2 linked regions of the Mus musculus genome follow. The protein of the gene in region 2 interacts with the protein of the main gene of each other region in a pairwise test. Links are inferred from orthologs where the notes say so. Each region holds a gene or a part of one and is shown on either strand. Other genes may lie near its edges. The genes, in order: Rap1b and Rgl2.

Region 1 (4,463 bases), on a different chromosome or scaffold from region 2:
GCACTAAGTTCTTCAAAGACCTTTACGTACATAGATCAAGTTATTCATATATTTATTTATAGACCAGGTTTCACTAGCCCAGGCTAGCCTTAAATTTATGGCAATTCTCCTGCTTCAATCTTAACTGCTGGGATCACAGCTGCAAAATACCATGCCTCGCACCACTTTAAAAAAAGGGGGCAGTGGTGGTGGTGCACGCCTTTAATCCCAGCACTTGGGAGGCAGAGGCAGGTGGATTTCTGAATTCGAGGCCAGCCTGGTCTACAGAGTAAGTTCCAGGACATCCAGGGCTACACAGAGAAACCCTGTCTCAAAACAAACAAACAAACAACAAACAAAACAAACCAAACAAAAAGGGCTGGAGAGATGGTTCAGCAGTTAAGAGCACTGACTGCTCTTCCAGAGGTTCTGAGTTCAACTCCTAGCAACCACATGGTGGCTCACAACCATCTGTAATGGGATTTGATGCCTTCTTCTGGTGTGTCTGAAGACAGCTACAGTGTACTCATATAAATAAATCTTTTAAAAAGGATTCTTTATTTCAACTTGTTACTCTTATAGGCTCTTTAGTGGGAGGGCTCACTTTCCCTGTATAGGTCAAAAGAAAATACTGGAATCATTATAAATGACCAATGATAAAATGATCAACGTGGAAAGTGAGAGATTCCCAAAGAAAATGTTTAATTCTTTTTAAAATGATTACACTGTTCTCTTTAGTCTCTGAATTAAGTCCCAAACATCACTATGTGCCCAGGTAAAATGCTAGGGACTAAGAGTAAAGCAGAATTCCTATTCTCATGGTGTGTTCAATGAACTCTACTGAACTTTCATCTGAGTGTCTATGTAACAGCGACATGCTAGTCATTTGAGGCATGCAGAAGAAATCTACCCCTTCCTTGGACCTTACAACTTGGTAGAACAGAGAAACACACACAACAGTAACAGAAGACAGGAAGTGATACAAGCCACGGAAAGAACAGTGGTAAGACAGACAGAAAAAGAAGAAAGACACGTTCATCATTTCTGTGTCCCAGACCACAGACTAAAAATTAAGCCGGCTTAGCATGGGGCCCTTCAGATGTTAATCTGAGGTTCGATACATTATAGCACAAGCAACTATATGTCCTTTTGATTTTACTTTGCAGCTTCCACAGATAAGGTCACTGAACTTCTGTGTCAAACAAGAAAGTACAAGGGAATATAATGTACTACAGAGATTAAAAGTATGGATATCAAACAAGACTGTCATTTGGGATTCTGTGTCTCTAAGTTAAAATTATTTCCTCCTCGGAGTATTAACTTCCTCTAACCAAAACCAGGGGATGAAACTACCTAAGGGGTTGACGTATTCCATACCATTTAGCTAACTATGGCACTCTTGGAGAAGAGAGCATAATGGGACCAATAATCTCTACCAAGATGTAATTCACAATTAAAAAAAAAAAAAAGTCACATTGCTTCCTGTGGATTGTCCTTTATGGATAGACCACGGCTTTACAAATCAGCAGACTCAGGTAATTGGTTATCTATTTTAGGCCTTAGTTTCCTCCTCATGAAACGACAGGGTGGGACCAGATGATTTAAAGAGTCTCTTTCCGGCCCTAAAAAGCCCCATGACTCTATTATGACTTAATACACTGACTTCATATCAGGCTTTAAGAGTGGTAAGGGCTTTAAATTAAAAGAATTTCTCCATTCAATTAAGTTACTTCTTGCTAAGATAAACTCCTTTCAGGCAAGTCTCGACAACGTTCTAATTATACAAAAGAAAACTGAAAAAAAAATGAATTTACAAGCTAGAGGCACTCGGTATATATTAATACACACTGCCAGCAAAGCAAACATTTCAACGAGACTCAATTGATTTTTAAAATATTGAAAAGTCCAGCCTGCATCGTAATGTCAACTTTCAACTTAGTAAAAAAAAAAAATGTGAGTTCCTATTACTGTAATAAAGAAGTGCTTGTATGCACACGAGTCGAGAGTCGCAGGGCCAAAATATCTTTCTAAAGCATTGGGGGGTGGGAGGGGGCAAGCGAAAGGAAAGCAATCCCATCTGCTCAAAACTCTTAAGCGAAGATGTTTCTTCCAAAGGCATCTTCTCCTCCCGCCCCCCTCCACCCCAAGGAAAATCCCGAGGGCCTAGTTCCCAAATTCACGGCGCTGATAAGTCAGTTTCAGAATCAGACACCTCGAGATGGCGAAAAGAAAAAAAAAAAAAAAAGGAGAAGAGGACAAACTTCCTGGATTTTTCTCTCTGCAAGAGAAAAAGAGATTTCCTCTTGCTGACGAAGGAAAGGCCCCTTTAACATTTTTTTTTTCCCTCTGCACGGTGGCGGCTGCCAGACTAGGTGGGGCTCGCTCCGCTGCCTTCCTCCTGCCACTTCCCGCAACAAATGAAGCAAGCCAGCCCCGATCCGGGCAAACTTTTTCCCTGTCAGGCTCGAGCCCGCGGGGCGCCGGGGAGTGGTCCCCCCGCCCCCCCTCGCGACGCTGCTCCGCCCGCCCGGCCCCGGGCTGGGAGAAGCCCGGGTGTCCGCAGAGGACAACTTTCTGGTTTCCGCTCTAACTTCCACCCACCGCCGAGGCGGGGAGCGGGGCGCGGCGGGGAAGGCTGCGGGGGCCTCGGGCAGGCGGGTGGGGGCTCCTCGGGCGCTCACTTCCTCCGCCATATTTCAGACATTTGACCCCTTCCGCAAAGCGCGCTGCTCCCCCGCCGCGGCCGCGGTTCCTCCCCGGCCGCCCCGAGGCGGCGCGCCCCGCCGAAGCGAGCGAGGGACTCGGGGGGCCCCCCGCCAGCCACCTGCCGCGCGCCCGGGCCACCCTCGCCGCCGCGGGGGCCATCGGGCTGCCCCGCCCGGTCCGCGCCGCACCCCACCTCTCCCCTCAGCCGGCGCCCGGCCCCCCGCCAGCCTCGCGGCCACGCACGCACCCCGCGCCCACCTCTCGCGCTGTCACCGGGTCGCCGCCGTCGCCCTCGCCGTCGCCGCGCGTTCCCTTCGGGTCGCTGCTCCCGGCGCCACGGCGGTCTCTGCCGCTGCCGCCGTCGCCGTCGCCGCCGCCGCCGCCGCTCGGGCTGCTTTCCACGCCTGACTCTGGGCGAGGTTTGGCGGTGTCGCCTTGACGTCAGGCGTTCAGCCTCGCTCTCGCTTCCGCCCGCGGGCGGGGCGCGCAGGAGCGCAGCCCGGGAAGGGGCGGGGCCGAGGCGGGCCCTGGCGGAGGGGGGCGGGGTCTCGTCGTGCTCGCCTCGCAGTGGGCCTCGCCCCGGCTCTCGGTCGCCGGCTCCGGCCGTGGCCCTTCTCCCCTGCCCTGCGTCTCGTTGCTGCGGTCGGCCTCGCCCCCCGCTGGCTGGGCTGTCCGACATAATCGGTGTCAGCCTCAGCGGAGCGCATCCGTTTCGACCCCAGCGGGTAACGGGGAGCTCAGGGGCTTGGAAACCTCTGACGCCTTCGCGGGGCCTCCGAGTGCACAGTCGCCAACGCCCCCAGACCGTCGGTGTTCGCGTGGTCCTTTGTGCTGGGGAAGTAACAGAGCAGCAGTTCCCACTCCCAGAGCGCGAGGGCAGCTTTTCATTTTTCAAATGGCCTTTCTTTAGGTTTGACAAGTATTTCAGCCTGTGGTGTGTTAAGCAGGGCCAGCTGTCCAAATTACCCTGCCAGACGCAGTTCGCGAATGGAGGATTCCAAAGCATGCTTATGGCCTGTGCCTAAGTGAACAGTTTATAGAATTAAAATAATTGGTTCATGGAAGAGCATGCCTGGGGCGCCTTCATGACTTTATAGATTACTCATAGATGTCAGTCTATGATGTGACTCCGAAAAGCTCTGTCCAAAAATGACTTGTTCCAAAGAGCACAAGAACTTACATCGATCTAGGTAATTAGAATATTTTCTCACCATCACCTTTAATATGAGAATCATGCTATCAGAGCTTTGTTTGGAAGACTTTGTTTCTGCTCTGATTACGCTCTCTTCATTGCGTGGTCCTGGCTGGCCTGACCTTGCTATGTTGACCAGCTTGGCTTTCATCTCAGATACACCTGCCTCTACGTATGGAGTGCTGGGGATTAAAGGCATGCGCCACCACTGCCAGCGAGGGAAAAGGTTTTGATGAACAAAACTTGAGAGGAAAGTACTGAAAGGAGTAGGCAATTTAGCTGGCCCTCCCTGTACAAATTATTCTGGAAATTTAACGAACCCTAGAAGAGAAATGGAGACGTGACCACTACGCTAACCTGAGTTAAGTGAGCGAGTAAGAAAGAATTATAGCTGGGTCTCAGGATGCCAGTCTGTAAGAGCACACCTCTTTCTTCTGCAGACTGAGCAGGAGGTGGCTCCTTGCAAATTCTAGGTTGCTGAGGCCACAGAGTAAGTTAAAGCCAACCTAAACGGTTTTGTGAGATTCTCAAGAAGTTAAAAAAAGGGGGGGGGCATAGCTTAATGATCCAGTACTTGTCTAGCAAG
Region 2 (4,328 bases):
TTTTTTTTGGTTTTTGGAGACAGGATTTCTCTGTATAGTCCCGGCTGTCCTGGAACTCACTCTGTAGACCAGGCTGGCCTCGAACTCAGAAATCCGCCTGCCTCTGCCTCCCAGGTGCTGGGATTAAAGGCGTGCGCCACCACCGCTGGACTCGAACTAAACTTTTAAGATGAGAAAAAAGCGAGACTTAGCGCCACACTCATTTGATGCCCACAGTCGGGAGGCAGAGGCAGTGGATCTCTGACATTTCCATGCCAGCCTGATCTACAAATAGGGAGTTTCAGGTCAGTCGGGGTTACTTGGCGGGGCTTTGTTGAGAGAACTAAATATAAGAACACACATGCGTAGAGTCCCAGGGTTGAGAAGAACCAGTGTATGCGCCAGAGAGGCGGGTTCATAACCTGTGGCTCACAACCCCCTTTAAGTCCATCGGAAATACCAGACATTAGGATTCACAACAGTAGTAAAGGCAGTTACGAAGTAGCAAAGAAAATAATTTTACAACTTGAACTGCGTTAATGTTAAGAAGGTTGAGAACCACTGGCCAGGGGATTAGGACGAAAGGTCTTCATAGCATCTTAAGATTCTAGAGACCTCAGGGACAGCCCACAGCAGTAGTCTAGAGACGGAAAGGTCCATGTGTCTCCCTCGCGGACTAAAGCCTACCTCTCCAGCTCTCCATTCCTACCACAGCTTTTCTTTTGCCTGGTCCACCTTTACCATCTCCGGGCCTGGTGGGTCTCGGCCCTTTACGAATGTCCCCGTGTGGTTCGTCCTCTCCTGTTCGCCGGTCCTCGTGAGCTAATAAAGTCTTTCCGAGTTTCCATGCGGGCCTCTCATTCTCCCGTTTCCAAGCACAGCCAACCTCGGTCACCTCCCGGTCCTCGTCTCGCACCCGGGAGACGACATAGCCACCGTGGGAACCGCGCGCGCTCGGGCGCACGGTGAGAGCCGGACGCCCGGAGCGACGGACCCGAGTGGAACCGGAAGCGCCGCACTAGCCGGCTTCCGCCCCCTCCCCGCGAGTGGGCGGGCATAAGGGCGGCACAGAAAACCCGGCGCGGATTCGCTCCGTTGCACTCGTGCCGGGGCGGCAGTGTCATTCTCGAGCTGCAGTAACGGGGTCGCGCCACTGCTAGGGCACTTTCCTCGGCAGTTGCAGCGCCGCTCTGGTTAGAAAAAGTGACTTAAAATTCCGTGTTTGCCTTCCTGTGGAGGCTTGAGACAGGACCCTGGTCTCCAGCGTGTCTGCTGCGAGACGCGGGCTTCAGAGCCACCGAGTGGGGCTGCAAGGGACAGCGGAGTAGTGCACCTGCAGCCTGCGTCCCAGCCCCTGGCGTCCAGCACTCCCCTAGTCGCTCTCCCTGGCTCCTGTCCTCACTTCCTTCCCTTTTTGGCTCCTGCTGTCGGGCGGACGCGGGGAGGGGGGAAGCGGAAAGGGCGGGAGGGCCCGGGAGCCCGGCGGGGTGCAGGAGGGGGGCATCGCGGAAAAGCCGGGGAGGGGACTCGGTAGAGGGCCAGAGACCGACAAGAACAGAGGCCCGGGACCCGCGCGCAGCCCTCGCCCTTCCCGAGCAGGTCAGAGCCGGAGCACCGGGTGACCCTGCCCATTCCGCACTAGTTAGCCCCCAAGTCCCAAGCAAGCACCGAGGGCTTGGGTTTCCCCACTCCCGTATCTCCCTCCCCCAGCCTTCCTCAGGGACTCCCACCTAGGTCCCTTCTTGTCCGTCTCCCCCACGCCCGTCTGACTCCACCCAATCCCACCCGTCTCTCCCCAGGCGCCCCCATGGCCCGACCCCGCTGATTGCTTCTCTCGGCCATGCTCCCGCGGCCCCTGCGGCTGCTTTTGGACACGACCCCCCCCGGGGGAGTCGTGCTGAGCAGCTTCCGGAGCCGGGACCCCGAAGAGGGTGGGGACCCAGGTGGCCGGGCCGTGGGCGGGGGGCAGGAGGAAGAGGATGAGGAAGAAGAAGAGGTGAGACGCGGGTGGCGGGAGGCAGGGCATTAAATATTTCTGAGACTCTCCTCCTTTCGGTGTCTCTGGGTCCCTCGGTCTCTTCCTCCCCGCCTCACTCGCATCCCGCCCGCCACACTCTCTCTGGATATCTGTCCCCTGGCTGCGGGTCCTGGTGTCTATGAAGTTCGCCCTGTCTGTCTGCTCGGAACCTGCCCGTAGGAACCTGCCGGAACCAGAATGGCTGGCTGGCAGACGGGCTGACTGTGCCTGCGGGGCTCAGGCCCTCTTTGCCCATACCTGCTTAGACGGGTGCCACTGGGCAGTTGTATCTTGGTCCCTGTCTCCCTCCTCGTTTTTTGTTTGGCTGGGAGGGGTTTGTTTCCACAGTAACCAGCTCCTCAGACTCTAGGATTGGGGAGGGAACCCTCAGATTTCGCCGCCTCTTCCCCCACCCCCTGGTGCTCAATAGAGGGCAGCAAGCCAAGAGGTTCCGGCACCTGGAGAGATGATCCCGGGATAGGTAGAGCGTGGTCATCTTCGTCCAAAGAGACTGATAGGATGTAGTCCGCAGCAAGATTTAGGGATTCAGGAGGGTCCAGAAGTTAGATTCGGAGCCCGAGGATCCAGACTCCTGGGCCCCGACATTGGTAAAGTTAGGGTGACTAGCAAGGCTGGTTTTTCGGGATCGGTCGGGGGAGGGGCTAGGGCCACATGACTCTGAGTCTACCGCCCCCCCCCCCCATCATCCTTACTTCCCCTTCTTGTAACTGGGATTGGAGCCGCCACCTTCAGGGGGTCCCCAGTGCTGAGATTAAGTGGAAGCTGTATTGGGGACCTGGGGAAAAGGAGTCTCTGCGGAAGGACTAAATTTGGGCTCCTCTGGTTCTGTCAGGGAGGGCGGGCCTTGTGAAGTTTCAGCTTCTCTCTGCTTCAGGTCTCTCTTCCTTTGGCTTTGTGCCTCTTCGGGCGCGCTCTGCTCCTGACTTTGCGCCCTGCTTTTCTGCGTTGGGCTCAGCTGTGGGACAAGGGGGGTTGGAGGTGGCCAGAAGAGGGGTTCCTGCATTCAGTTGAAACCCTCACTGCAACCTCTTCCATCCCACCGAGCTCTGAGGTGGCCGGGGGGGCTGTCTGAGCCCCAGGGTGGGGTAGACCTGGGGTCACCAGTACCCTCTACCCCTCGCACTCGCTGGTATTGTCCCCCGCCATCACAGGTGAGGGGTGCAGAGGGAGGAACAGGGCCTGGGGACAATGGCTGGGGACTGGAGGTGCTGTGGAACTCACTTCCTCTTCTTGCTCCTCCAGGCTTCTGTGTCAGTCTGGGACGAGGAGGAGGATGGTGCGACCTTTACTGTCACAAGCCGCCAGTACAGGCCTCTTGACCCCTTGGTGAGATCACGACTTTGAGGTCTTGCCTCTCGGTTTTTAATTTAATATTTATTTATTTATTTTCCGGAACATTAGGTTGAAGAAGTTCTGGTAGTGTGAAGGTAGTTCTGTGTTGTGTGATTTAAGCCATTTCTGAACCGGGGCAGAAATAAGCTAGATCTGGATTATCCCAGATGTCTAGCAGTCAGATTGAGGAGGCCCGTCGGTGAGACACCCTCCATGTTCTCCAGGCTCCCTTGCCTCCACCTCGCTCCTCCCGACGGCTCCGCGCTGGCACTCTGGAGGCCCTGGTCAGACACCTCTTGGATGCCAGGACAGCAGGGGCTGACATGATGTTCACTCCGGCCTTGCTGGCCACCCACCGGGCCTTCACCTCCACTCCTGCCCTGTTTGGGCTTGTGGCTGACAGGTCAGGGGCCAAGGGTTAGGAGGCTCCTGGATTCCCTTTGAGCACCCCCAGCACCAGCGGGGGCTGGAAAAGCCACAAGGTAGACCCTCTCCTCATCCCCAGGCTGGAAGCCCTTGAATCTCATCCTCCCGGTGAGCTAGAGAGGACCACAGGGTGAGTGGCCCTGTCTGAACCTCAGTCCCCTCAGGGTGCTGAGGCTAGACCTCTGACCCCTGGCTGATTCCCCTTCTCTCAGGGTAGCCATCTCTGTACTTTCAACTTGGCTGGCCTCTCACCCTGAGGATTTTGGCTCTGAGGTCAAGGGTCAACTTGACCGGCTTGAGAGCTTCTTGCTTCGGACAGGGTATGCAGCACGGGAGGGTGTTGTGGGGGGCAGTGCTGACCTCATCCGAAACCTCCGGGCCCGGGTGGACCCCCGGGCCCCCGACCTTCCTAAGCCCCTGGCCCTTCCTGGCGATTCCCCTGCTGACCCCACGGATGTCCTGGTGTTCCTCGCTGACCACTTGGCCGAACAGCTGACCCTGCTAGATGCGGTGAGACCTTGACCTTTGACCCCACACTCTCTGCCCCCTTACT

Evidence for each region.
Region 1: the proteins of Rgl2 (region 2) and Rap1b interact in a two-hybrid assay, tested with the Homo sapiens proteins (2 studies listed by BioGRID and IntAct). The link is inferred for Mus musculus from reciprocal best matches to the Homo sapiens genes RGL2 and RAP1B.

What each region holds. Positions count from the first base shown.
Region 1 is NC_000076.6:117,842,888-117,847,350, forward strand, and holds the start of Rap1b (ras-related protein Rap-1b), read right to left. Parts: upstream 3,088-4,463; 5' UTR 2,944-3,087; intron 1-2,943. UniProt on the Homo sapiens protein: GTP-binding protein that possesses intrinsic GTPase activity. Contributes to the polarizing activity of KRIT1 and CDH5 in the establishment and maintenance of correct endothelial cell polarity and vascular lumen.
Region 2 is NC_000083.6:33,928,467-33,932,794, forward strand, and holds the start of Rgl2 (ral guanine nucleotide dissociation stimulator-like 2), read left to right. Parts: upstream 1-1,427; 5' UTR 1,428-1,578; intron 1,579-1,778; 5' UTR 1,779-1,819; coding exon 1,820-1,975; intron 1,976-1,981; exon of another isoform or gene 1,982-2,477; intron 2,478-3,259; coding exon 3,260-3,343; intron 3,344-3,573; coding exon 3,574-3,752; intron 3,753-3,854; coding exon 3,855-3,905; intron 3,906-3,987; coding exon 3,988-4,285; intron 4,286-4,328. UniProt on the Homo sapiens protein: Probable guanine nucleotide exchange factor. Putative effector of Ras and/or Rap. Associates with the GTP-bound form of Rap 1A and H-Ras in vitro.